Oryzias latipes: one gene and its partner. The protein of the gene in region 1 purifies or fractionates together with the protein of each later gene. This does not show direct contact. Links are inferred from orthologs where the notes say so. Each region holds a gene or a part of one and is shown on either strand. Other genes may lie near its edges.

Region 1 (3,108 bases):
AAAGCAGACTGCTGATGTGCTGCTGCTGCTGCTGCTTGAAGCTGTGACAGCGGCTCACCAGGGTTGTCATCTCTGATGGCTGATTTCAGGAGACCTCTAGCATCTTCAGAGTTCCATGGACTGACAACCTTCAGACCCGGACAGTGAGCGTACCTGCAGATAAACACACCGACACTCAGGCACGAGGATTTGAGCCCCCTGATGGCAGAAATGATCAGGATGCAAAGATATTCCTACAAGAAGGCAGAGAAACTCACCAGGCAGCAAAGCACTGCGAGTGCTGTGCCGCCACGCCGGCTGAGGCCCCGTTGGGTCCTCTGAAGACGATGGGGACTGGCTGCTGCCCGGCTGACATGTAGTAGGTCTTTGCCGCAGAGTTGATCACCTGATCGATGGCTTGCATGGAGAAGTTAAAGGTCATGAACTCACAAATGGGTCTCAGACCGGCCTAAGGAGATCAGACACAGACACCAGGCTTAGCTGCAGGAGGAGGGTTGTAATGGTCTGGCTCATTTTATCTCAATGATCTTCCTTTAAAGCATGAGCGGACGCTGAGGTCCTCTGACTGCAGGAGAACCTCAGGCATCATTTAGGAAGAAGCTCAAGACACAGCTTCAGATACTCTTACCTGATTATTTATTCCAATTTTATTATTTTAAGTATTTGATCTAATTTTCTGATGTATTCAAACACGTTTGATGTCTTTGAACTGTTTTTCCCCTGTGGGGCTGCCAGCCTGGTCTGTGGTTGTTGCCGTGGTGATCACCCTCACAGCCTCACAGCTGTGGAGTGGAAACCGACCTGGGTGGGCGTTGTGGCGATGGCTGAGCCAGCAACTGGCACGATTCCCCAAATACTGTTTCCTTACAATCAAAGTTTCCTTCATAATTACAGCCATGCGTGTTTTCATTGTGTGTGGGGTCATGGTGTGTGTGTGTCAGTGGAGGGAGGGAGGGAGGGAGGGGGCATTCTCATGTAAAGCATGAGAATGCCTTTTTATAAATACATTTGCTATTGATTTGATGATAAACAGTGAGCCAAAAGTTTCCGTGTGAATAATGAATTAAATCAGGACAAGAACACCTGAGTCCAGAGCTGCAGGATATGAGGAAAACTCACAATTTGCGATAGTAGTGATCAATACATGAATATATAGCAAAACTATCAAAAATATCATTTCCATTTCACTGCAACAGTTGAATTAAACTAAGAGTCAACATAACTTGACTCCCCAAATGACCCTCGTCTACAAAGGAGGCAAGCATCTACCATTATATAAAGGCCTCCATCTGACTAGTAAATGGATTTGGATTTGTTTAATACTTCAAGCTGCCATAAAACTGTTTTAGCACATTTAAAGGAACCATTTATTGCAACTTTCACAGACTTTTAAAATATGCATATTGCACAACTTGATATTGTACTAACAATAAATTTGTGATTTTTTGTGCAGGCCTACCAGAGACATAAATACTTTATATGTATATAGTGAAAAAGTTCATATTTCGAATCATTACACATAATTAAAGACTACTTTTCTTTTAAATGTTGATGACTTTGGCTCTCACCTGTGATTAATTCAAACCTAGCAAAGATTTCTGAGCCTTTAAATCGTGGCTCATCTACCTTAAAAAGAGCACCGGTTTGTGTTCTTTAATTGTGTCACTACATTTTTGGTCATCGTTACATCCGCAAAAATTCCTAAGGTTGCAGGTTTTGCAGGTTATTTGTGAGATGTTGTGGGTTTTCTAGAGCAACTCGTGGACTGTTTCGTCTGAATTTCAAGCAGAAACTCAGACCAGAAAGTCTCTTTGTTGTCGTGTTTGGAAGGTTTCCGTCTCAATCCAAATGCTCTTATATGTAGTTATTTAGTTATTGTAAGACTGGAATAACCAGGTACATGACATGGAGATGTTCTCGCTCACATTGTGTGCTCACAACACGTCCACACTGGGTCCAGGGAACGGTGGCACTGTGGTGGAGCGACCAGTGCATCAAAACTGCCCCAGGGCAATCACAAAAAACAAAGTTTGGGTTCCTTACTGGTTTTTGTAAAAACTAGAATTGATCAAAGTAAGTTTGAGATGAGGTCATTTTTCTGTGTTCCTGTTTGGTTTACTAGACCCACACTTAACTGACGAAAGATCAACGGCAGTCACAACCCAAACTCACCATGGCTGCTCCCACTGCGATGCCAGCGAAGCCCATCTGCAGCACACAGATACACAAGGTGTGAGGCGAGAACGCACACATGACACACTGACACCATCAGTACACTCACCTCTGAGATAGGCGTGTCAATGATGCGTTTGTCTCCATACTTCTTCCACAAGCCTCTGCTAACCTGACACACACACACACACAGAAGAACATCAGACGCTCACCGTTTCAGCCTTGTGTTTTCCGTATGAGCACAGCATCCAGACTTTCATCTTTAGGAGTCTCCCGCCCAGCAGAAACGGAAACTGAGCTCCAAAAGCTTCGCTCAGCTGACAACCGTCTGCACCGCTCAGACAGTGTGATACGAAACTTTTTATCTGCAGCGTCTTACAGTATTACTTCCAAAGGACTTTCAGTTCCAAACCAGAACACAAAAGGATCACATGTGAAAGCAAATGTCAGGAGCTGGATTTCTAGGATTCACATTGAAAACAACAGATAATATCACACGTTGCTAAACATTTTTTCAAGCTTGTTTAGGAATCGCTGATATATTTTGTATTATCAGAGGTTTGGTAGAGTCCCCAAAAAGTGTACGCTAGTAAGAAAAGCACTGCAGTATATTTTGACTAAAGTAAAATTGGAAGTACCATCCCCATCCAAAAACGTATTTTAATAGGAGTAAAGAGAGATATTTGAGTACTGAGGAACAGCGGATTTTTTGAAATGAATGTCAGACAGTAAAGACATGACATTATGGACAAATTCTAAAGGAATAACATCATAAAAATAAATAAATTTACAAAAAAGCTACTTACAAAATAATGCTTTCCTAAGTCAGCATTTTTTAAGAGATGACCAAAACAGCTGAAATTTTTCTATTCTGAGGGAGGTTTTATTTTGGAAAGCTACCGGATTCTGTTCACCACATCCGTCCGTCTTGATGGA
Region 2 (4,402 bases), on another chromosome or scaffold:
AATCCTTCCAAGTCCCAGGACCAGGTACACTCTGCACAATAAAACAGATCAGATATTTAATAAATAACCTAAAAAGGTGACTCTACAACTCCTGCTGCTGTTTTAGGCACATACTGCCCAGAACGCTCAGAACACGTGACCTTCCCGAGAGTTCGTGACTTTTCTTTGGCTGGGAGACATCCAGAAAAGAAGAAGGATGTTACCCCAGGCAGGCCTTCCTTCCACTAACCATTTGAAACTTTTACTTTTAGAAATACAAACATTTCCTTGCTCTTTGTCATAATTCAGGGCCCGCAGCCTACAATTTGTTTGAGAAAAATCCCAAGGCACCAAGTTACACCCTGAAGGGACGCACTAAAAGTGGAGACTTATACGGGTACCCGAATCAGGTGTGGTGATTGATACACTAAGGATTTACTTTGAGAATGCAAACAAAATCCTGATTTTCTGATATTTCTCATGCAACTGCTTAACAGAATCCAGGTCCAGCTGCATACAAAGCTGTGAATTCTGACACTTATTTGAAGAAAGCCCCCCACTACAGTTTTCAAGGTCGCAACTTTATGCCCCTGGATAAAACAAATACACCTGGTCCAGCACAGTACCATCCTAAAGGGGTAAAACAAAAGAAACCATTTTAGTCAGAATAGTTCCAAATATGAGCATTGTGCTTTTAAATATCTGAAGTGTATTCACTTACTTTTCTTTTACCAGGAATCCCTTACAAAAAGGAACGCCCCATGCTTCACCTTTGGAGTGCATCATTCAGAATACGTCTTACCTGTGTTCCGGAAAACTGACGAAGAATGAAGCACAGCGGCTAGAAATAAAGTTTAAAAGGCTAAATGTGGGCGTACTTTTGTTCATGTAGCATGTAATTATTTGGCAATTAGTTACAATTTATTTGATCTAATAAAAAAACATAGTGTTAATTTGACTCTTTAGCAAAAAAGAGGTTTAAACTCTTTGATATAGACAGTTTTCTTTCATTTCCATAGCTTTACTTTTTCATACAAGATACAGTAAATACAGTTTTGTAATAATATGAACGATTTTTAGAGACCTTCAATAAAATGATGCATTTCTGTCTGTTCAAGTACTGATTCACATTCCAATCCTATAGGGGGCAATATTGCTCTCGCAATCTGATTTGACGGCTGCCAAGACACCCGAAGAAAAACCAAAATGAAAGGTCCTTTAAAGAACAATCTTTGTTGCCTGCTCATTATGAGTTATTTAACCAATCACTTGATATTCAATTTTTATAACCACACCAGTAGATGTTTAATTTCTATTTATATCTTAATAGTTTTTCAACAAAAAAGATTTAACGCAAAATGTGTGCACATTTTTTCACGATAATTTATCATCAGGCATTCTCAAAGCCAGAATTTACGGACTGGACGAGGGAGGACAGCAACATGGCGGTCTCCTTGCGCCTGGGTCGTCAGGGAGCTCTGCTTGGGCTCAGATTCAACCAATTTAAAAAATCAATATGTCCCACACATTATTTCCAGGACCGAGTTCGACAGTTTTTTCATTCACCATGGGCGCTTGGTGAGTGTTAACCGAAAGACACGGGAATAGATTCGGTGTCGGATCATATAAGCTAACAGTAGCTGCTTTGGGGGGGATACTTACTAGTAATTTCTTCTAGTTTGTAATTTATTTGAATATACTGCAAAACGAACAAGGATGCAGAAGTCTCTGTTGAAAACTTACTATAAACATATTTTGTGTTTTCTTTAAGTGAAGAATTAGAAACTGTTGTAAAGGCAGGGTCAAATACAGACTTTATTTATAAAGTATTTTTTCACAGCCCAACACAAAAGTGCTAAACAGAATAAAATAATAATAATAATAACTATGTAATATAATAATAGAAAAAAAGAATGCCCTCACCCTCCCTACCTCCTACACACCCACCATAGTGAAATATTATAAAATGAAAAAAGCATAAAGAGCAGATCTGCAATGACCCTGTTTACAGAGAAGAGACATTCGATGGAGTGAAGGACCCCCCTGAGAAAAACAAAACACTGGAGTTAAAAGTAAATGTAAAAAGAATGAATACATACAAAATATTCCAAATACATACATAAATACATTTAAAATTGACCTACACTAGTATAATCACATATGACCTAATAAAAGCACTGAGCATGAATAAGAAATGAGAACAAACTGCTAAAACACAAAATATTCATTATTATTATTTAAATGTTCAAGTTATAGTTAAAAGCCAAGTTCAAAAAGTAGATTTTGAGCCTTCCTTAAAAAGCATGAAGTGTCTCTGTTACATTTTATTTAGCCAGATAAGAACCTGCTGAGATCAAGATCTCCTTTACAAGAATGATTTGGACAAGAGGTCAGCAGCACATTTCATGACATCTTCAGTTTTGTTTTTAAATTCTGTCTATAATAACAGGTGTTGAAATGGAAAACACAACCTAGAACAGAGATTAAACATTTGTCCCTGTTTTTTCCGCATGGATTGCTAAATTTGACCAACCCCAGAAAACATAAAGTCTTAATCGTTGACAGAATTGCTTCTGCAATAAGTGGTGAACAGAATAATGGAAAAAGAGTGTAAATGTATATTCCCTTAGCAAAAGTCACGTACATATCAAAGATCGTCTATATCAACAGCAAATGCTTTTAATTTATTTAGATTTTTCCTTAATTCAAGGTAAAAAAAAAAAGTTTGATTTTCTGGAAGTTATTTGGACAAAAACAATGAGGCAGTGACTGCAGTTGTCTAGAATACAACAGTAGAACCAGTCCAACAACTGGTTAGCTTCATCAAACTAGATAACTTTACCCCGATGTTTCCATTAGACTGTTACAGGAACAGCATGTATTCATTTGACTTTGTGTTTCTCTTCCTTCTGTTCTCGTGTGACTTTAGAAGGCAAAAGACGGGAGGGGGGTAGGCCTGCACAATATACCGCAAATGTACCGTTATCGCGACATCAGGCTGTGCAATATGCATACCTCAAAAGACGGCGGAAATCTCAATAAATGGTTACCTTAAATGTGCTAAAACAATCTCATGGCAGCTTGAAATATTGAACAGATGAATTAAATCCCTTTATGCATTTAACCAATCGGAAGGACCCGTTTACATTGTTGATCAATCAGATGAGCCCTTTTATGTTTGATGTTTGCCTCCTGCGGCGACGAGGGTCATTTGGAGTATCATTTTTAAACTGTTGCAGTGAAATGGAAATGATGTTTTTGGTTGTTTTGCTATTTGTTTATATACCGCAAATTATATCGCAATATTGATCACTAATATCGCATATCGCAAGTTTTCCTCATATCGTGCAGCCCTAGAGGGGGTATGCTGCATAAAATCAGAATCCATTTCTTATTCGGGTAGTTTATCCAGCAATTCTGTAATAGTTAATATGCTGCCATGCTTTGGTATGTGGGTGGACCATGGCAACGGATCCCAACTTTATCTGACTAATGAAAGGATTGCTCATAGAGCTTGGAGCCGGGGATGAGCAGGTATTATTTCCAACATAAACAATGACATCATATTGAGACGGAATATCTCTGATGTAACCTTCAGTTGACTAACAATGGCGTTTCCGTCAAACCAGAAGAGTTAAAGGAAATCCAGGAGAATCTGTCATTGAGTAATTGGCTTAAAAAAAAATCCAAAAGTCCAAAGTTTGAGCTGCAAATATATAAAGAAAGACATCACTTAAAAACTAACATGTATGTAACGATAAACTGTTTATGTATTCAAAAACCATATGAGAACATGAGCACTGTTTAAGCAGGGCTCTCCACAGAATCAGTATATTTTGAAGTTGCCGACTGATAATAAATTAGTTTTTAACTTTATTGAAAGTATACAATAAATGACTAAGTTGCTCTAGTTTTTCTCTTTGCCTGAAAGCTAAACTTATTTTGTCATCAGCTCTTTTAATATGTGTTTTCTGATCAGAACATGTTTGACAGAAAAGGGTAACCACTGCATGAACTAGAAACTGTTTTAAAGTCAAAAAATGTTACAACAGGGCACGTTTGCTTATTCACAGTAGATGGGAAGGAAGGTATACCACAAGCATTTTAAGCGCTTCATAAATGGAATTTAAAGCTTTGTGGATTTGGTTGTGACTCTTTTTATTTTTACATAATAGAAGAATAGGAGAAACATAGTAAGTTAATAATGAAAAGAAGAAAAAGTAATACCAAATTATTAAAAGCACATTATAAATTCCCCATGTCATCTTTTAAAAAGACTTTGTGTATTACAAGCTAAATGCCTGGCAGGTTTTTAGCAGATATACTTTTAGCAAAAGAGATCGGAAAATCTTAACATTAATTCTACTGTCAGTACATAGAAATAGCTTTTCTTAGCAATAAAAAAATACATTCTTGAAGAATT

Evidence for each region.
Region 2: the proteins of pdhb (region 1) and pdhx purify together in Homo sapiens (affinity purification with mass spectrometry; 4 studies listed by BioGRID and IntAct, counting the BioPlex papers as one, with this or other methods). This does not show direct contact. The link is inferred for Oryzias latipes from reciprocal best matches to the Homo sapiens genes PDHB and PDHX.

Annotation. Positions count from the first base shown.
Region 1 is NC_019863.2:1,306,759-1,309,866, reverse strand, and holds part of pdhb (pyruvate dehydrogenase E1 component subunit beta, mitochondrial), read right to left. Parts: intron 2,345-3,108; coding exon 2,282-2,344; intron 2,209-2,281; coding exon 2,173-2,208; intron 449-2,172; coding exon 258-448; intron 154-257; coding exon 59-153; intron 1-58. UniProt on the Homo sapiens protein: The pyruvate dehydrogenase complex catalyzes the overall conversion of pyruvate to acetyl-CoA and CO(2), and thereby links the glycolytic pathway to the tricarboxylic cycle.
Region 2 is NC_019864.2:22,875,084-22,879,485, forward strand, and holds the start of pdhx (pyruvate dehydrogenase protein X component, mitochondrial), read left to right. Parts: upstream 1-1,380; 5' UTR 1,381-1,421; coding exon 1,422-1,557; intron 1,558-4,402. Other genes in the region: outer dense fiber protein 3, read left to right, coding at 1-24, 107-208, 289-389, 477-617, 715-810.